2 linked regions of the Notamacropus eugenii genome follow. The protein of the gene in region 2 interacts with the protein of the main gene of each other region in a pairwise test. Links are inferred from orthologs where the notes say so. Each region holds a gene or a part of one and is shown on either strand. Other genes may lie near its edges. The genes, in order: OAS2 and CLK3.

Region 1 (10,417 bases), on a different chromosome or scaffold from region 2:
CAGATAATCCTTCCTTATCTTACAGAAGATGACATGAACCAGAACCAAGCATCAGAACTGAGCCTTATTGGTTCCCATTCTCAGTAGCCTGTGGTCTCGTGATGGTACCTTCTTTGTCTTGGTTTTTCCAACAGTCCATTGGGGATCTCCTATTTGCCTTCCAACTTTCCCAGCAGAGGTTTAGGGTGCAGTGGTACTTGGGTAGACTGGTATCAGTACCAAAGAGATGATCTTTGTATCCCTTTAGGTCACTTCATGAACCTGGAATATCATACCTCTGAACCCCAAATTGTTCATTATGTGGACAACCTGGTTATCATCCTTTCTGCAAAGCTGAGATGCAAGATCATCTGCCAGATGTGTGTGCATTGACTTCCTTGAAGGATTCTCTTCTGCATATAAAACACGAGCCCTATCCACCTCTACACTTTCCCCAAGAATTGTCTTATCTATGGCTTATTCTCTCTTTGAGCACTGTTGCCAGCCATCTCTCACCCTTTAATGATGGTCCTTACCTATGCTTCAATTGTCTGTCCTGTATTTTCTTCTGTATGTTGTGTTCTTTAAAGAGTTCATTCCTTGACACCAAACTACCCAACTCCAGCCATGATCTCTGTCCTCAACTTCACCTGGCTGATCTATCAGTACCTTGAACTCAGTATGTTCAAAGCTGAATCATAAAATACCAGACTTGTAGACACAAAGACTTGGGTTCAAGTCCTTCCTCTGATCTTTTCACTAGCTACACAATCATTAATAAGTCATTTCATTTTTCAGAGATTCAGTTTCCCTGTTTGTAAAATAGGGGACACAATAACGCTTGTAGCACTTATCTTGGGAAGCTAGGTGATATAGTGGATATAGTGCATTTAGGATCTACAGTCAGGAAGATCTGTGTTCAAATCCAGCCTCAGATGCTAGCCATGTGACTCTGGGCAAGTCACTTCACTCGTTTGCCTCAGTTTCCTCATCTTTAAAATGAGCTGGAGAAGGAAATAGAAAACCATTCCATTATCTCTACCAAGGAAATCCCAAATGGGGTCATGGAGAATTGGATGCAACTGAAACAACTGAACAACTACAAAAAGCATGTATCTCACAGTGCTGTTGTGAAGTGCAAATGAGATAATATCTGTAAAGGGCTTTGCAAACCTTGAAGAGCTAGAGTAACGTCACAGCATATCAGAGCTAAGAGGGCCCTTAGAATATAGAATGTTAGAAGTAGAAGGGAATCTGTAAAATAAATGAATTTTATTGATGCTTTGCTTTTATGTTGACCAGATTTCCCATTTTATCCCTTCTCCTCCCCTCCCAGAGGTCACTGATTACAGCAAAGTTGTTTTATTTTAAGAAAGGAAGAGGAGGAAGAGAGGGAGGAAAGGAGGAAAGAAGGAAGAAAGGGAAGCAAGGAGGAAGGGAGGGAAACAAAGAAGGAAGAGAAGGAGGGAGGGAATGAAAGAAGAAGAAAAGGAAGCAGGAAATGGATTTTTACTATCTTTTGTATTTACATGACCTAGATTTCCCCTATATCTCTACTTTTCCCTCCCCAGAGAAAAGCTCCTTAGGATAAAGAGTGTTTTAACAAGGAAGAGAATAAAATGAAAAAAACTTAGTAACATATCAGAAAAATCCGGCCTTGTATGCAACATTGCACATGTATGGACTGACCTCTGTAAAGGAGCAGGGGAAAGTGTCTTCTCATCTTGCCTTTGGGACCTAACTTGATCTTAGTCATTTTGCAACTTTTTAACTTATTTATTGCTTTTTTTTGTGGCCATTTTTCTTTCTAGTTACATTGTTGCCTTCATTGTGTATTTTGATTTTCTGGCTTTGCTGTCTTCACTTTTTACCAGTTTGTAAAGGTCTTTTCGTGCTTCTCTCTATGTTTGTTTCTTAAAAGCCATTAAAATAATGTACCATGTTTGTTTGGCCACTCCCTAATCAGTGGGCATCTGCTGTGTTTCCAGTTTTTTGCCACCATAAAAAGAGCTTCTAAAAATATTTTGGATCATAGGAGACTTTCTTCTTCTTAGTGACGTCCTTTGGATATTTGCCTAGCAGAAGAGTCTATGGGTGAAAAGGGATGGACATCTTAGTTACTTTCTTTGCATACTTCCAAATTACATTCTAGAATGATTATGCCAATATATTGCTCCACCAACAATGTAGTGGTGTACCTGTCTTTCCACAACTCCTAGGATGAAATATATGGCATTAGAATTCTAGAACTGAAAGGAACCTTGGAGATCATAAGGAAACTGAAGTCCAAAGGTGACTGGCCCAAGCTCATATCATTTTCTTCCTACATCCTTTCCTCGCAAAAGATTTTGCCAAGAACACCACCCATCTCCCATTCCCTAATGCTCAAAACCTCAGAGTGCTAATTGCCTCTTTCTTATCTTTTCTTCCCTATGGCCAATGAAAGAAACATCAAGTCCATACTAGCCTTTCAAAAACTCAGTGTTACATGACATTCAAGTCCTTTGAAAACCTGTCATTCTCTGTTTCTCTGTTTTCCTCTGTCTCTGAATTTTTCTCTCCCTTTCACTGTCTGTTTCTCTCTCTCCCCCTTCTCATTCTCTCCCCTTCTTCTCCTTCTTTTTCTCCTTCTCCTTCTCCTTTTTCTTCTTCCTTTCTCTGTCTGTCCCTCCCTCCTTTCTCTGTCCATCTCTCCCTCTCTCTGTCTCTCTCTCTTTCTTTCTCCCTCCCCTCCTCTTCCTCCTTCCCTCATAATCTATTGGCTCCCTTCTTGCCACATAAAAACATGTGTAGTCCTTCTTTTTCTTTAAAAAAAAAAAAGCAAACAACTTCCCTCTACCATCTTCTCAACTGGTCATCCTAGATTTTTCTTCCCTTTCACAACTAAAATCCTAGAAAATATAGTTTACATTCACTGCCTCTACTTTCTCAACCTCTTGCAAACTGTTACCTCAAAGGGTGCCAGTGATCTCCTAGAATATAGATATTAAATCAACGATCATTTCTAGTCATCATACTTATTGATTTATCTGCAGTGTCTGACACTGTTGATCTCCTAACCTTGTTAATTGCCCACTTCTTCATGGTTTTTCATGACATAGTTTCTCTACTGGTTCTCTTCCTACCTACCTGGTGAACTGGAGTTTCCTTCCTAGAAAATCACCTCTGTTCTAGAGCCCCTTCTCCTCTCTCTATATAGTCTCTTCCATGATGATCCCATTAACTTCCATGGGTTCAATCATTATCTGTTATATAAAGGTAACTCCCAGAGGAGTGCATGTGTATGTGTGTGTATATATATATATGTGTGTGTGTGTGTGTGTGTGTGTGTGTGTGTGATACAGGTGTTTAGATATGCATATTTTGTATATATGTATATTTATAGATGAATGGATAGATAGATAGAGGTGTGTGTATGTGCGTGTGTGTGTGTGTACATCTTAGGCACCACCAACTGAATGATCCTTAGGCATCTCAAACACACCATGGCCAAAATGGAATATATTATTTGATGAAATCCACCACCTCTCCTCCAAATTTTCCTCTTTATGTCAAGTGTACCATCATTCTTCCAGTTACCCAGGTTCCCAAACTCAACATCATCTTCCTCTCCATATCCAATAAATGTCAAAGTCACAGATTCTACCTCTACAACAGATTTCATATCATAATCAAAATCCTATGGGAAAAAAGAGTCTATACTCATGGCCTCCACTTCTCAATCCCTTCTCCCCACTATTTCAGACTCTTAGCACCTTTGGTTGGAACTATTAAAACAGTTGCTGTTTCCAGTCTCTCCCTTGTCAATCTTTCTTCCCCATAACCACCAGAATAATCTCCTTAAAGCATCAACCCAGTCATGTCACCTCTCCATTCAAGAAATGCTAATCATTCCCTATTGCCCTTAGGATTAATTACAAAGTTGAATCGATACAATAATAATATTTCAGAAGCAAACAACTTTAGAAGACTTGAGAACTGTGATCGATGCAGTGGATCAGTGCAAAGCAGGCTGGCTACCACTTTCCTGATATGGATGGATACAAGATGCGGACAGAGATGTACATTCTTTGACATAGCAATACAGGAAATTATTTTGCTTGGTTAGGTGTATTTGTTACAAGGGTTTTGTTTTCTGCTTTTTATTTTTTCAATTGGAGCATGAGAAATGGGAAACAAGAAAAAATTGTTCATTGATTTTTGTTCATTGATTAGTTGTTAATTGATTTCTTTCATTTTTAAAAGTTTGTTTTTTTAAAAAAAGAGAATGAATTACAAACTCCCCTGTTTGCTATTTAAAACCCTACATTAACTGATTACAGCCAACCTTTCTGGTCTGATTGTTCATTACTCTGCTTCAAGTACTCCAGGTAAGTACTATAGTAAGACTGGTCTACTACCTCTACCCTAAACTCAATACACTGTTACCTCCATGCATTGACACAGGCCTAACCCTAGGTCTGGAATAGACTCCCTCCTCACCTCTACCTTCCAGAATCCTCATCTTCCTTCAAGGAAGCTCAAAATCCTAGCGTCTCAGAGATATCCAGAACAAACTGTTCAGCTCTATACCCAAAGCAGGAAAGTCAGGTATGACACCTCCTCCAGTTAGCCTCCCTTCCTTGAACCCTCAGCTGAAAGTCTTTTCTCTTTTCTCAAATAATCATGGCTAGCATTTATATAACACTTTAAGATTTGTAGAGCCCTTTACAAATATTCTCATTTTATCCTTTTAACAACCTTGGGCAGGGGAATCGGCACTTTTTATTATTCACATTCTACAAATGAGAAAACTAAGGCAGTTAGAGGGCAAGTGATTAAATGTCTGAGAAAGCGATCTATCCACTGTACCATCTAGCTATCTCAAGTACCCCTAGAATATTTTCTCTGGATCTCTCTTTTATCTCATTCTACCCTCTATCCTATGGTGGTGGAAATCTCTCAACAACAGCACACACTTTTTCAAACATGTTTCCATTTTACACCTTATTTAACAACCAGGGGCCAGCTAGGTGGCACCATAGTGTATAGCCTAGAGCCAGGAAGATTCATCTTCACGAGTTCAAATCTGACCTTAGACACTTACTAGCTGTCTGACGCTGATCTTGTTTGCCTCAATTTGCTCATCTGTAAAATGAGCTGGAGAAGGAAATGGCAAACCACTCCAGTATTTTTGCCAAGAGAAGCCCAAATGGGGTCCAAGAGAGTCAGAGAGGACAGAAAATGAAAAATAACAACAATTCAGAGGCCAGTTGTCAAGATCTGGTTTCTTCTTGTTTTTTCTTTTTTTTGAATATTAAGCTTCAAGCCAGTTTTTACACTCTCCTTTTTCATGTCATCAAGAAACTTCTTAATTCTTCACTTTCTGCCATTGGAGTGGTATCATCTGCATACTGAGACTGTTAATATTTCTCCTGGCAACCTTAATTCCAGCTTTTGGTTTGCCCACCCTATCCATTTGCATGATGTACTCTGTACATAAGTTGCATAAATAAGGGCTTTTTTTAGGGAGTTATTTCCTCATCCTGAAGTTCTTCTGGCAGAGGCTGGATAATTGACTATCAGGATGTTCCCCAGGAAGCCCCATGTGTATCTACAGCTTAGACAAATGCCCTGAGGATCCTTCCCACTCTGAGAGTCTATGACTTTGTGAACACCCCAATCCAGGTCCTCCAAACTGAAGGCTCTTTATACTATACTTGGGCATGTCTCAGTGAAACTCAGAAACCGACCAGGGAGGGAAGAATACACTTTCAGGTGATACACAACAAAGGACCTAGAACTTTCCCAAAGGGAAAAAAGACCCTCTTCTGCTCACATCCTCTATGAAATTAGGAAGTTAGAGTCTAGATTTGACATCTGAAATCTCTCCCAGCTCTGACATCTCCTGTTCTAAGGCCCCTCCCAGCTCTAACACTCCTTGTTCTAAGGCTTCTTGTAGGAGGTGGAATTTTAGCTGGGAAGTCAGGAAGTGGAGATGAGAAGGGAGAGCATGCTACGCCAATGAAAATGCCTGGAGTTGAGAGTTGGAGGGTCTTATGAAAGAAACAGAGGTCAGGGTCCTCCAAGCTCTTAAAACACTCCCTCTAAGCTCTGACAGACTGCTACTGATTCTGTCTCTAGCAGCATCTTTTTAAAAGGAAGTTAAGCAGATATCCAGACAGAATGCTGAGATATAAGCAGAGATTGGGAGGAGAAAGTTTATACAAGAGTCCAAAGCCTAATCAGAAGTGCAGAAGCCGGGGAAAGGGGCGGGAGGGGGCGGGAATGGCAGACAGAAACTGAAACCTAAATGAAACCATTTCATTTCTTCCTTCTGCTCCGAGTAAGCCTCTGCCAGAGGACTTGTCCACAAGCTAGCTTACCTGTAAAGTTAATACTTTGAAGGAGGGATAATGTTAAAATCTTTGTGGAGCTGGTGGTACGATCAGCCAGCACTTTACTTTGAGCGTGCTGAGAATCTAGATCGATTCATCCAGAATGAGCTACAGCCCCAAGAAAAGCATCTGCAGCAGATTGACAAAAGTATCGAGGACATCTGTGAGTTCTTGGAGAAACAGGATCCTCCCATTCAAGTGAAGGGTATAGCTGTGGTAAGCAGTGGGAGGGAGAGGGGGAAAGGCGGGATGAAGGGAAAAGAGAAGGGAGAGAGGAAAATGATGGGGGAGGGGAGAGAGAAGAAAAGGAAGGAGGAGAGGGGGGGAAGGGCAGGAAAAAAAGGAAAAAGGAGGGAGAGAGGAGGGTAGAAAAGAGAAAATGGAAAAGAGGGAGAGGAAAAGAATGGGGAATGAGGAGATGGGAAGGGAAAGGAGAAAAGGAAGGTGAAGAGGAAAAGGGCAGGGAAGAAGAAAGAAGAAAGAGGAGGGGAGAGGGAAATGAGGGATGAGGGAAGGAAGAAATGAAAGGGAAGAGAGATGGGATGAGAAAGGAGGAGAGATGGGAGAGGAAAGGAGAAAATGGGGAAAGAGGAAAGGAGGGGAAAGAAAAAAGGGGCAGAAAATCAATCAAGACAACAAGTTTTTATCGAGTACTCACTACTATGTACCAGGTACTGTTCTAAGGCTACAAAAAAAAAAAAATACAATCCCATCCCTACAGAAGCTTACATTTTCTGAAGAGAAAACATGTACAAATAAATATATGCAAAATATGCAAAATAATTTGGGGTGGGGATTTGCAGTGGTAGAGGTCCTCACACCTGGGGAGCAGGAAAGGCTGCGTAGACTGTAGAAGGTGGAATTTAATCTGATCTTTGAGGAAAACAAGGATTCTCAGAGGTGGAGGTGAGGAGGGAGGGTGCTCCAGGCATGAGGGACAGCCCGTGCAAAAACAGAGGTGGGAGACTAAATGAGGAACAGCAGGAAAGTCAGTTTTACTGGACCAAAAAGTGCTTAGAGGGGAATTATGTATAATCAATCTCAAAAGGTAGGTTAGAACCAAGTTATAAAGAGCTTTAAATGCCAGAATTTGTACTTGATCCTAGAGGTAATAGGGAGCTACTGGGGTTTATTGAACAGGAAGTGATATGATCAGATCTGTGTTTAAGGAATATTACTTTGGAAGTTGGGGGGCAGGGATTGGAAAGGATAGAGGATTGAGTGAGACTAGAGCAACATTTCAGAGGAAAGGTGAGGAGGGAGGGTCACATGGGGACCACAAAGATGAAGAGTAGGTTACAATAACCTTCTGTTTGGCCTCTCTGCATCAAGTGGTTCCCCACCATAATCCATTCAGCTGTCAAATTGATCTTCCCCCAAAGCTCAGGTCTGACCATGTCCCTCCCACTCTTCAGTAAACTTTCTCTCACCTCTAGGATCAAATGCAAAATCTTCTGTTTGGCATTCAAAGCCCCACCCACACACCTTTCTGGTCTTGCTCCCCACTATGTTTGATACAATCCAGCCGCGCTGGCCTCTTACAAGACAATCCATCTCCCAGCTCCAAGCATTTTCACTGACTGTCCCCCATTCCTGGAATTCTCTCCATCCTTATCTTCACCTTCTGGACTCATTGCACACAAGAATCTTGGTCCCTGATCCTCTGGACCCACAACCTCTACAGGACCGACCATTCTAATTGTCCCTTAACCTGTGCTGGTCATGTATGCTCTCCATAGAGGCAAAAACAAGGTGTCCAGCCACAATTTTTGTTCTTAGAGGCTTTTTTCCTGTAGTCTTATTTAGGCAGCCTCAGTCAAGCATTTATGGAGGCTGCGATGAATGAGGCTGCCAGCCCAGAGCTGTAACTGATCAGATCTAGGTGCTGTTGCCAACAGTGGGCACAGAACATGTGCCATGGATGCTCCTTGCCTCCTAATCAGTATTGGATGATTGTAGGGTAGGGTTTCACTCTGTAACTTAGGAAAGAGAAATAGAGTGGGAGACCAGAAAGGGAATTTCATAGTTCTGTGGAATGTCAGAGCTGGAAGAAACTTTAGGGAAACTGTGCCCCCCCATCCCCACCCCAAGGACTCACGCAGAGCACAGCCTATCCTAAATATTCTTCTCTTAGGAGATGAACAGGAGTGTGGACTGATGGCTCTATTAGTGCCCTTGGGATAAGATGCTCAGTAGACTGCTTTGGGGATTTTTAAAAATTGTGTTTTGATCATCCCTTTGTTTCCTAGCAAATCTACTTTTGAAATCTTCCTGCCTTTTCTTGGCTGAACTAAGGGGTAGATTTTCCCCAGGGGCAGCTAGGTGGTGCAGTGAATAGAGCACCAGTGCAAGAGTCAGGAGGATCTGAGTTCAAATCTCAGACACTTGACACTCACTAGCTGTGTGACCTTGGGCAAGTCACTTAACCCCAATTCCCTCATCCTGGGTCATCTCCAGACAGGTCACTGGATTCAGATGGCTCTGGAGGAGAAGTGAGGCTGGTAACCTGCACAGCCCTCCCTCACTCAAAACAAAGTGCAAGTCATGTTATTATTTCTCTGATGTCATGGTCTTCTTCAGCAATGAAGGATAAACGCACACAGATTTTCTCCTACATCTAATTCAGAACAAAACACTATGAGAGAAAGCTGGGATGGATGGGGAGGTAAGAGAGACAGCAGTCATGGAGGTCCTTTATCCTTACATTTCTGACCTCACTAGACTTTGCCTGGATGTCTGGTCAGCAACTCAGATTTAATCCAATTCAAAAGAGAGCTCATTATCTTTTCCTCTAAACCAGAAATTCCTCCTCTGAACCTTCTTGTTACTGTTGAAGTCTCCACCATCCCCCACATCACAGTTCTTTCCTCTTCATCACTCTGCCCAGCCAGTCAGCTGCCAAGTCTTGTCAGCTCCATCATCACAGTTCCCATCATTACATTGTCACAGTCCCTTCTTGCTTCTCATACCCCAGACCAGGCCCCTATCACCTCACCTGGATGCCTGAAATCATCTTCCATGTGATCTTCCCACTGCCAATCAATCTTTCTCCTTCTCCTTGTGTTGTGTTCTTCACAAAACTGACAAAAGATCCTAAGCTCTATGGTGGTTCATATCACTCCTTTCCCTAAAAATCTTCAATGGCTCCCTCTTCTCCAGGAAAAAATCCAAACTCTTCAGCCTTGCATTTAGTGAGCTCCAGGCTCTGATTCCTCCAAATTCATTCCCCTTTGGTCCCCTTCACATATTCCGTGCTCCAACTAAACTGTTCTGTAGACTCTACATAGTGGTTACCATGGGGTGCATTCCCTCCTCATCACCATCTCTTAGAACCCCCATCTTCCTTGGGCAGCTAGGTGACTCAGTGGATAGAGTACTGGGCCTGGAATCAGGAAGACCTGAGTTCAAATCCAGTCTTAGACATTTACCAGTTTATTCTCTGTCTGCCTCAGCTTAAGATAAAATGAGGAAATAATAACAGCTGAGTTATCGTGAGGATCAAATGAAATATTTTTAAAGTGCTTGGTACATAGTAGGTATTTAATAAATGCTTGTTTTCTCCCCCCGCCCCAAGATGTTGAATAGAGTAGAAGCCTTTTGAGGGTCAGGGACTGTTCAGTGTTTGTCTTTAAATCCCTCAGAAACCAAAGAACCTTTAGAAACATGAGCTATTACTAATATTTGTTTTCTAGGACAATCAAAGGGAGCTGGGACTATAGAGAAGGATTTCAAAATTCTGGTGTTGGAGAAGCCAAAGAGAGCTGGACTGGCTGGTTCTTCTTGCTTGGAGTCTCCTCCCACTGACTGTCTCATAAGTGATGGAGATCCCTCTCACTTTTGGTCCCACCACACATTTTCTTTTCTCTCATAGGGTGGGTCCTATGGCAGAGACACTGTTCTCAAAGGCCACTCTGATGGCACCCTTGTCATCTTCCACAAAGAACGATTTGAGGGAGACCTGATAAAGCTGAAGCTGCTGGCACCCATGGGGAAAGTCAAGGTAGTAGAGGATAAGCACCAGTTGATACTGACCGAGTCTGACCTATGCATTACCTTTGATG
Region 2 (11,271 bases):
CCTTTCTCTTAATCCCCAATTGATGGGCATCCCCTCAGTTTCTAATTCTCTGCCACCACAAAAAGAGCAGCTATGAATACTTTTGTCCTTTCTCTGTTTCTTTGATGCACAGTTAGTAGTCTGTTGGGCATAATTCCAAATTGCTTTCCAGAATGATCAGACTAGTTCACAGATACAACTGTGCATGAGTGTACTAATGCCTCTCTACCATTTACCATTTTCCTTTCCTGTCATCTTAGTTAATCAGATGAGTAAGAGATAGTGCCACAGAGTTGTTTTGATTTGTATTTCTCTAATTTTTAGTAATTTAGAGCATTTTATATAACTGTTGATAGCTTTAATTTCTTCCTCTGAAACCTATGTCTTTATATCCTTTAACCATTTGTTAATTGAGAAATGGCTATTATCCCTGTAAATTTGACTCAATTCCTATATATTCTAGAAACAAGACTTTTACTAGGGAAACCTGTTGCAAAGATTTTTTCTTCCAGCTTCCTGCTTTTCTTCTAATTTAAGTTGCATTGATTTTGTTTATGCAAAAAACATCTTAATTTCATATTATTAAAATTACCTATTTTACCTCCTATGAACCTCTCTATCTCTTCTGGCAACTACTTCTACAGGTCCTTCAACCCCTGTCCCCTCAGTAGCCACAGCTACCGACGACCCAAAAAATAAATTTTCCATGATCAAAGTTGTTGTTACTGTCATGTGATTCAAGATCTGGAATGAGTATGGTTTTTATCTGTGGAAATAATAATGCATTACCATTTGCTTTGTTGCCATACCCTAAGAATCATTAGACCTTTACATATGAAATTTCCCATGCATGCTGTCTCTCTCACAATTTTTTGAAGGAAAGGGCTATCTTGCTTTACTATTTATATTCCTAATGCTTAGCACTTGGCACATTGCTCTTAAAAAGCAATTTTTCACTCCTTCATTCCTTTCTTGCTGTGCTTCTGACTCTATGGACTTCATCACCTGACTCCCTCCCCACCAGCCTTTCAGCTGTCTTGAGTGTGTTGTTTTCTCCCACTAAAATGTAGTCTCCCTGAGGCTAAGGACTATTTTTCTTTTTATTTGAATACTCAGAATTAAGCACAGTGCCTGGCACACAGTGAGTATTTAATAAATGTCTGTTAACTGTTGTTAACCTCATTCATTTGTCAACTGCAACTTACAGTTTTAAAGAGTTGCCTAGACCCTATAACAGCAAGCAAAGTAGGATTTGTTTGTTTGGAGTTGTTTTCCAGGCTCAGGCTAAATTGTGAGCACCTTTGAACTCTAAGAGTTCACAACTGTGCTGAGTCATGTAGGTTTCATGCCTATTGATTCTGAGTCAATCAGGATCCGAGTCTTCATTATATATACTGGGAGGTTAGTATTTTACTGGGGGGGGGGGGATGGAGGATGGATTATGAATTATGAATTATGAGAAGGATCTTGTGATTGCCTGGTCGAGACTCTGAGTGGTTGTATGTTCAGCGCCCCCTCCCGTACTCCCACTGCTTAGATGTAAAAGCTCTCTGGATCTAGGAATGTATGTAAAGCGTATAGCAGTGTTGCTTTGATTCAGGCAGTAAGAGCCCTGTCAGTTTTTATTTCTCTGTATTTTCTCTGTTTGTTGAATAGATAGGAGGTGTGGTAGCTTTGGAAATGTAAAAGATAAAAAGATGTGTCTCGAAGCATTTGGTTGAACTAATTAAAGTGATTGTTGACCCCTCAAATTGCCTTTCCTTTTATAAATGCAGATCTAAGAACCCCCCCACCCCATATGTCAGAGTGCTCACTGATACAGACCCATGGTGTCAAACTCAAATAGAACCAGGGACCACTGATCCATATAGGATCCCTGCAGGCCACATATTGATTTAGCTTTAAAATCTAATATTATTGGTACTTTTTATTTATTGAATATTTCCTAATTACATTTTAATCAGGCTCTAGCCACACTCAGGAGTGTTAGGGCTACCTGGGATCAGTGGCTCACATGTTTGAATACCTCTGGTCTAGAGCATTGGAAAGTTAAGTGACTTTTCCAGAGTTTCTATGCCTTGAACTCAGGTCTTCCTGACTTTGAAGCAAGTGAGTGATCTACTATGCCTTGCTGTCTCTGACATAGTACAAAATAGATACAAGAATACTGGATTTGGAACTAGAGGTCCTGGGTTCAAATCTTGATTCTGTATGACCTTAGGCAAGTCTTTAACTGATGTAAGCCTCAATTCTTTCAGACCAGAAAACTTGTAAGCTCTAAATCTATAATCCTGCGACCCTGTGAGATCCTTTGTGTTAGTGCCAGTCACAGCTTGACAAATTCCACCCCCAGGTTACTATTGTCATCATCTATCTCCACTCATTCTTGTGTCCTGCTGAAGAATGTCACACTACAATGTCCACCAGGTCTGCTAAAAATTTATATTATCTATTCTTTATTGCATCCCACCTGTTGTGATGCAATTTATTTTGTTCTTTCATGACTGCCTCCTTCTAAGGCTCATCGCAGCAACTATTCCAAACTTTTTCTTTTCTCAAATCCATAGTAACCACTCCTCTCTCTCTCTCTCTCTCTCTCTCTCTCTCTCTCTCTCTCTCTCTCTCCCCCCCCCCTTCCTCTCTTCCTCCCCCCCTCCCCAAAGGACCCAACCACTAACCATGACTTCTGTGTTTCCATCTCATCAATGGCTCATAACCCCCTTACCCCATTCTCTATTCTCTCCTGAGAAGTAGAGGTCTCTGCTACTTTGGCTCTTGGTTCCTTCTTTCCAAGTCTCTACTAGGAGCTTGCCACCTTGATCATTCCCTCTCTCTGGTCCATTGGCTCCTTCCCTGCCACCTACAATGATGCCCAGGTCCTCCCATCCCACTCTCACAATTTTGTCACTTGACCCTCTAATTCTCTCAAACTTTCTTCCTCCATCTCTCCTCCCTTCCATAGCCAAGTTCCAGGAAAAGATTGTTACATTCTTTGCTGTAATTACGTTTTTATTTCCCAGTCACTTGTCAAACCCCTTGTAATCTGATTTCAGATCCTGTCACTCAACTAAAAATGTTTCATATTTTATTGATATTTTTTAAAGCATCACTTTTATTTCAAATATGTCCCTTCCTCCCCTCTCCATAAAGATAGGTTGTGCAACAAAGAGTAAAAAAGAAAAAAAAAGTTCATCAAAATTAACCAATACAGGAATCTAGTTTGATAGTAGATATGTTCCATGCCCACAGTCCTTCACCTATCCTAAGGAGAGAGGGAGAAAGGTGTATTTTTTCACAATGTTTTGGAAATGTTATTGATCATAGTATTCCAGAAATCTTTTTGGTTGTTCTCTACACTTGCATGGCTACAGTCATACCAATGATCTTTTAAGCCCCAACTCTAGTTCTCATTTAACTTAACCTCTGCAGCTTTTGACATTGTCAACTCCTTCCCCCTCTTCCTGAATTCTCTCTCCTTTCTTGGCTTTTGGGAGGCTGCTGTATTTGTTTCCTCCTACCTGTCTGAGGGCTCCTTCTTAATCGCCTTTGTTGTACTATATCATCCGTTTGCCAACAACAAGCTTCAGTGTCCTTGAAGGCTCTGCCTTCAGCTCTCTTCTCTACTCTCTGTACACACTCTTCCTCTTCCTCTTGATGATCTCAATCTATTCCCATGGGTTCAATTATTATCTCCATGCAAATAACTCTTGGCCCTCAAGTCTCTCTTGAGCCCCAGTCCCACACTGCCAACTAGAGTGGGGAGGAAGAATGGTATAGTGGAGAGCACATTGACTCTGGAGTTATAAGACGGGTTCAAATCCTTACACCTACTATCTGTGTGACCTTGGTCACCACATTTTAATTCTCTAGGCCTCAGTTTCTTTCATCTCTATAATAAGGGGGTTGGACTAAATGATGTCTAAGGTTCTTTTCAACTGTATATCTATGAACTGTAAGATGACCATAGCTACACTGCCCATCAGTTCAAACTCTATGTGTCTAAAATGGAGCTCATTATAGATTACTCCCCAAACCATCCTTCCTCCAAACTTCCCTGTTTCTGCTAAGGACACCACCAACTATCCAGTCACCCTGTTTTCTATTTCTGTATTCCCAGTCCCAAACATAATGACTGGCAAATATTAGTCACTTAAACACTTGTTGACTTCTTGAACGTTCTGTAGAGTGCCCCCTGGCTCCCCTTCTTGGCATTATGCTTCATATTGCAGGGGTGCTCTAGGCAAGGGGAGCATAATCTACCACCCTTCTCTGTTTGCTCCCTACCCATCAAAATATACTCTGAGTGAGAGAATGAATAAATCAAGACTTGGCAGGTCGCCTCTCAAAGGGTGCTGGCCCATTGTTTCAGCCTTGTTAGCCCCCCAAAGGGAGGGACAAGATCTATTTATAACTCCTAGCTCAGGCTCTCTGGCAAACAGGACCCAAATACAAATTTTTGAATGACAATAAAAATAATGTTATTGCTGAGGGGTGGAATGTTTGTACAGGCCATTTGCATAGGGCCTTACAGCTCACCAAAATTTTCACACCTTCTCTCCTTAGAAAAATAATAGCCCTTCAAGCATTAAAAACTCTGATGACAACGCAGTTCCAGAAAAAGAAGCCTGACATCTTGCCAGAGAAAGGGATGGACTTGAAATATAGAATGAGACATGCATTTTGGACATGGCCCTAATGTGGGAATTTGTTTTGTTTAACTTTGCATATGTATCACAAGCATTTTTTTCTTTATTGTTCAATAGGTAGGGATGGGAGAGAAAATATATTCTTATTAATAAGAAAAAACAAAGGGAGAATGGCCCTTTAAATTAGATCAGGGATTATTATACCCATTTTAAAGATGAGGAAATGGTTTTGACCAAAGATAAGTACGTACTAAGGGGTAGAATAAAGATTCAAATCTAGGTCTTCTGATCTCTAGACCAGAATTTTGTGGATTATTTTTTTCACTAAATCACCCTGATGCAATTCTTCCCTGGGCAGGACTCAGCTCCCTCAGAAAGACAGCATGTCAGGGTGTCAGAGCACAGGAAAATACCTGGTACCTGGAGATGGAAGCCTTTCTGCAGTTCTTACAGCCGGTTGAGGACGGTGTTTCCTCCAGAAGACCCTCCCTCTCTAGATGCTTAGTGACAGTTCCCCATTGGCACAATCCCTAGTCACTGTGATATGTGAAGAATCAGCAGGAGTTGCTGCATCATCTTAGCAAAGTGAAGCCCATGCAAGAGTATAAAACAAGGGTCATGGGAAGAAATGACTCCACAACTGAAGGGGTCAGGAAAAAGGAAGGGGACATTTGGGCTGATTGCTAAAGGATACAAAGGATTCCAAGAGACAGAGATGAGAGCAGATTGCCTCTGCAAAGGCTTGGAGATGGGAGATACACACAGGCACTCATCTACTCACACATACAGGATGATGAGATACAGGCTGGTGACTCAGAGGACAGAATAATCACCCAGGGCTTGGCTAGTATTGCATGTGTTTTCAAAAGCCCTGGCATTCTGAAGCCTATTTGAGGAGTCAGTCAGACAAAGAACCCCATTTCTCAGACAGCAGCTGAGGTTCCATGAAGGGGTGACTGGCTCCAGCTGGCACACAGCTAGCTGCTCTGGCAGTGGTAAGAGGCCTTTGGGTTTCGTGGCAGAGGAAAGGGGGCTTAGCTTCTTGGGGCCAAGGCTTTACATCAGCCTCAAGCCTAGAGCAGTTTCTAACATTTCTTTTCTCCTTTCACCTCCTCTTCTGGACCAGGGGAAACATCCTTCCTCCTTTCTCCCCACCCCGATCAGTTCCAGATGGGGGCACCTGGCAAGGTTGGTGTTTCTCTCCTTTCTTATGCTCAGCCACCACTGTGGACAAGGTGGTTGGGGCTTCTTGGCCTGAGTCCTTCAGGATGAGAAGGACTAACAAGGAGAGAGGGGCTAATTCCTACTGGTAGGAAAATGCAGCATCACAAAGTGGCCCCGTGTAATCAGTGTATGGAGTGGGTTATGCCAAGGCTGTGGGTGAACCGGACAGGCTGGCACATGAGGGCGTTCTGCTCAGCTAGAGATTAACTATAGAGATCTTTGTTGAAATCCAGGTGCTTTCTTTTATCTGCTTCAAGTATTTGGTGAGAGGTAGTGGTTGTGCTGTGGGAAGAGCCATTAGGCTTGGAGTCAGGACTGAGTGGTGGCAACTGTGTAGCTCGGGGCAAAGTTCTGGGCCCCGTTTCCACCTCCTTGAGGGGTTGGTCTAGACTAGCTTCCTGTGTGGGGCTAGGATGGGTCTTGGGGAGCCTTTAGTTAGCGAGGCCACTTGTTTCCCCAAGTCTTCAGGGCCGGACAGAGAGCCGAACTGGCTTCCTCTTCTGGTCAGTCTGGAGAGGTCCCCGAACGGCGGCCCCGAGGCAGCCTTACCTAGCAGGCTTAAGAGTCAGAGGCTTGGCAGAAGCACAGGCAGGTGCCCAGGGCTCCCCAATTGTCTCCGTGGGTGCAGCCAGCTGCCCTGAGAGATGGTGAGCTCCCCATCCTTGCAGGTATTCAACCAGGAGACTGACGACCCAAGAAGGGACTGATTCCTTTTAAACTAGTAAGGAGGTGGCTTCGGAAGCCTCTTGGGGGGTCTTTGTGTGGCAGGGCAGGGAAGGGCTCCAATCGCTATGAGTCACACACAACCCAACCAGGTCTGGGGGGTGTCTGGGGGGATCCTGCAGGTGGGGATCGCAGTCCCGCTCAGGTATGTCGCCACGTGGGGAGGGGAGGGCCACGGAGGTGGGCCCAGGAGCGGACGTTTGGGGAGCCGGGCCGCCGGAGGACCGGCCAGTCCTCCAGGAACAACGAATGCCAGCCTAGAGCGGCGGCGAAGAAGCGCTGCGGAGCCACTCTAGGGGCGGGGGCGGGGGCGGGGAGGAGGCGAGAGGGGGTGTGTACCGGGCCGTGGCGTCGGCACGCAGGGCGGGCCAGGAAATTAGAGGGCGGGGCCTCGGGGGCCCGAACGAAGGGACGGAGGGGGCGGGGCCTCGGCGGCACGCAGGGCCCGGCGGGGCGGGGCCGCAGCTGCGGCGGGGGGAGGGGAGCCCAGGGCAGGGGAGGGGCGGGGCCGCCGCGGGCGGAGGCCGCAGCCCGGAGCCGGAAGCGGAAGAGGCGCCAGGAGCTGGGAGCGGGGCCTAGCTGGAGCTGGAGCGCCCGGGAGACGGTGAGAGCACCCCCCTCCCGCCGTCATCGGCATCCCCTTCCCCTCCTCCGCCCTTCCCTCCGGCCTGGTGCGTGGGTTGCGAGCGGGGATGGCGGGAGGCCGCGGCTCCTCCCCCTTTGGGCGCCCTCCCTTACTCCTGACCTCTCACCCCTGACCCCGCCAACCCCTATTGGGCCCTCCGACCCCACCTCGACACTACCCTCCCGAGGACCTCGGCTCGGGCCTGGGGGCGGCGGGAGACCACGACCTTTAAAGCCCTCCCGCGCCCTAAAAGTCCCACCCTCTGGAAGTCGCCTTCCGTTCTTAAAAGTCCTCCCTCCGCTGCCCGTCACCCCCATTCCCTTCTCCACCCAAATCCGCCCCGCTATTAAAGTCGCCCCCCGCCCTCAAGATTCTCCCCCGCCCTTACTCCCCCACTCCCTGACCCCGTCAGGCTTCCACCTTAGACTCCCCCATAACATTTGCCGTTAACTCCTTCCTTTCTCCCCCTTAAATCCCCCCAGGCTCTTAAAAGCCCCCCGCCCTAAATGGCCAAGCCCCCCTGCTAAAACTCTTAAAATTAATTCCCCCCGTGTCTCCCCCCATGGACATGCCCAAGGTGGCTCCAGCTGAAGTCTCCCCTCCCCCATTGTGGATGCCCTAAACCCGGTCCACTTATCTTTGAAAATCTCCGTTTTCTCCTAAAATCCCCACCCTCTTCTGCCCCTAATCCTTCCTCCCCCTCCTAAAATCCGAGCTCCGTCCGGATCAATGCGGGGCCTCGCCTCCCTGCCCCCCATCCCCCCCACCTCCGTCACCGCCCCCCCCCACCCTTCCCAGATGGGCCACCCGGGCTAAAATGCCCCGCCCCTTTGCCAATATCGCGGCCCCTGGAATCCCACCCACTAGATACATTTCACCCTGGAAATACAATTATACCTTCCCTCTTCCTTCCGAAATTAACGTGTGGGAAAGATCCGCGCTCCCCAGTGCCCCTTTCCTCAGGCTGGCCCCCCCACCCAAGTTGTTAGCCTGCTGAGCCCACTGCCAGGTGTGCCCGGGGCTCCGGCAGATGTTTGGCTTGGTCTCCCTTATGCCGCCACGCCCACCCCCTTGCTCTGGCCTGGTACCGTATGGCAGCCCGTGGAAACTGAGACTGTGGGTTGGGGGGCGGGGTGACCCACAGAAAGATATGCTGCAGAACCCCGGTGAAGGTATCTCAGCTATTCCAGGAAAGCAAGGCTGGGGAGTCCCCAAAGTAAGATAAGTATTCACAGCTGGGCCCCAGCTGGGTCCTGGGCTGAGGAAAAGAGCAGTGTTTTTGTTGTGATAATTCCAGTCCTGAAAATGAAAGAGATACTTGAGGCTGCAGCCCGGGACTTGAACCTGGTGTTTTCTTACTTGGGGTATGAACACCTCATATCTTTTGCTTTGCCGCTTTTCTCACCTTTGACTATGTGGTTTGACCTCCCCCTCACTCAGCCTGGGTAGAGCAGAACTGGGGTAGGACTTTATAGAGACAACCCCTTTGGCAAAGCAGAATTGGCTGCCTTTCATCTTCCTTCCTCTGGCCCGTTTTCCAGTGCCCTTGAAAAGAAAAATGTTCAACCTCTGTGGTGTGGATTTGAGAGATGGGGGGAGATGAAGTGCCAGCAGTAGTGGCACCAGCAGCCCTCCAGCATAACTGTGGGGATCCTGGGGGAGGGGAGAGGGCAGGTGCTAGCCGTGGCTCAGCTAGATGTTCTCGTTGGCCCAGTTTTCCTAATGCCAGCAACATGTGAAAACTGACAAGAAGGCTGTGCCCTGAGTACCTCTGAACAGACAGCTGGCATCTTAACAGCGTGGCATCTGGACTTGGTTTGACTTTTCCCATTCCTCAGCATGCGGTAGGAAAACTAGAGCAGGTTTGGAAGTACTTTTAAAAGCTGTTCTATTCCATAGCTCACCTCAGAAACTTGGTATTTTAATCTGTTGGGCCCTCCTGGGGTGTTAATGAGTCTGAGAAATGGGCCTTAAGGCTAGCAGACTTTTGGAGGGAGGTGAACCTGGAAATCTTTCATGTCAGATCGAGCCATGGGCAGCTTTCCACCCACTTTTTTGGAAGTGAGTTTTAAAATTCTGTATTCCTCTGAATAAGACTACCCCTAACCAGGTTTTTACCTCTAAAATGAAATCTCTTCGAAAGGAATATACATACACACACACAAACTCACATACTCTCTGTGTGTATACACATATATATGTATGATTATTTTTCATTATTAATTCCTTTTGGATGCTAAGATTTAAGGAGACTTTTGGGTGTGTGTTGCCAAAGGGAGGCTAACAGGCTCTGTATGCTGTTGCCATATGGTTTCTCTCTGTCTGCTTTTCTGTTCTGGGTCATTTGAGTTCCATAGAGCCACTTTGGCAGTTGAAACCCAGCAGCCTGGGTTTTAGTGGGCAGCTGAGAGAGAGATAGCCCTATCTTTGTGGAGGTAGGATCTCCTCCTGCCTAAGCCACCCTCCCTCCCAGTGGTCCTGCCCAGCCTGGGCAGTGAGGAGAAGGCAAAGAGAGTCGTTGGGCTTTGCAGTAAGATTACCTCTCTAACGTAAGGGCTGGCCCGCAGGTAGGAACTTTCAAGGGATTCCACCACCTTACCAGTTTCAGGGGCATCCACTGCAGACTCTTCTAGCTCTTAATACCATCTGAGAGACCAGGAAGAGTTTAACTATGTGTATGGAACTAAGAATATTATTATAACCTACATAGGTTTGTTATAAACTAGATTTGGGGGGAAACCTAGCAGTGTTATTGGAATCCATTCTGTACTTAGGAATAGAGCTGGCCATTGATTTAATGGACAGCAGGATGTCATTTTGGACTGTACAAGACATTTCTCTAAAAACTCCATCTAGGACTTGGAGTCAAGAAGACCAGAATTCAAACTCTTGTCTCAGTCACTATGTGTGACCTTGGTGAGGCATTTCACCTCAGCCTTAGTTTCCTCATCAGTAAGATTGGGATAATAATAGCATTTACCTCCCAGAGTTGAGGATAAAATGAGAAAATGTGTAAAGCACTTTGTAAACCTTAAAGAGTTATATAAATACAAATTACATCACCATTATCATAATCATTATTCCTGGACTCCTCTGATATCTTGCTATGGCCTGGAGGTGAACCAGGTCCTTCAAAACTGTGCTCATGAAACTCCAACTCTGGCCACGTCTTTCTAAGTTGAAGAGTCTTCAAGGACAAGGCCAGGGACAGACTTTATGTCAGAGGACCAGTCTAGTTAAATGTGAAGAGGCTTGTCACTGGGGTAGCCATAGGATGGCAAATATTCTTTGGCACCTTGCCAATAGGGGTTTTGCTCAGTATAAATAATCATAAGATTACCATATCAATGAAACCAGATTTTTAAAAGCACAAAAGAAACACTCTACAGTCTACCGGGACATGAATGAGGGGATGATCTTAGAGGCTCAGATAGTAATCTTTAGCCTAAAGCAGATTCCTAAATCATTTCAAATCCTGTGATTCAGAATGAGAACCTGCGTTAAAATGTCAAATTGAATCAGGCCTGGCCCCTACTCTGGCCACAGTGAAGCATTCTTGGTGGCTATTAGATACATATTTTTATTCCCTAGCTTGGTTGCTTAGCCTTGGGGATAATTACAGGAAACCAACATAAAATTAGTCAGCTGATCTTAAAAGGCATTTTAAACGTAAAGCATTAACCCAAACTCAATCTGAAGTTGTTAGCAGTGCCTCTATAGAATAGTTATCCACCTGGAGTTCTACTTTTGAGGTACCTTTTCAGCCTCATAAGGTAGGAGTTGTGAAAGGGATGGAAAATCATCAGTGAGCATTGTGAGGCACAAAGCTACTTTTTCTCGGTCATTTGGAAAAGTCTGTGCAGTCACCCAGGCCACAGCTTCAGTTTTAGTCACTGTTCTCTTTAGTAAGCAATACAGTTAGTACAGAACTGACCAGCCAGTTGGAGGATTGTTGTAAGTGGTGAGGAGAGGGAGGACAGGACAGGGGTGGATGGAATGAATTAATATTGTATGCCTGTCAAGCTAACAAAAAGGTATATTCCATGAGTGGGCCTCCACGTTCAGTGCTTCAGA

The links.
Region 1: the proteins of CLK3 (region 2) and OAS2 interact in binary tests that used the Homo sapiens proteins (3 or more experiments, as listed by UniProt). The two-hybrid records come from large-scale screens. The link is inferred for Notamacropus eugenii from reciprocal best matches to the Homo sapiens genes CLK3 and OAS2.

What each region holds. Positions count from the first base shown.
Region 1 is NC_092875.1:33,198,811-33,209,227, reverse strand, and holds the start of OAS2 (2'-5'-oligoadenylate synthase 2), read left to right. Parts: upstream 1-6,255; 5' UTR 6,256-6,374; coding exon 6,375-6,572; intron 6,573-10,227; coding exon 10,228-10,417. Other genes in the region: OAS3 (2'-5'-oligoadenylate synthase 3), read left to right, coding at 248-259.
Region 2 is NC_092872.1:241,550,775-241,562,045, reverse strand, and holds the start of CLK3 (dual specificity protein kinase CLK3), read left to right. Parts: upstream 1-6,223; 5' UTR 6,224-6,493; coding exon 6,494-6,517; intron 6,518-7,070; exon of another isoform or gene 7,071-7,176; intron 7,177-11,271. UniProt on the Homo sapiens protein: Dual specificity kinase acting on both serine/threonine and tyrosine-containing substrates. Phosphorylates serine- and arginine-rich (SR) proteins of the spliceosomal complex.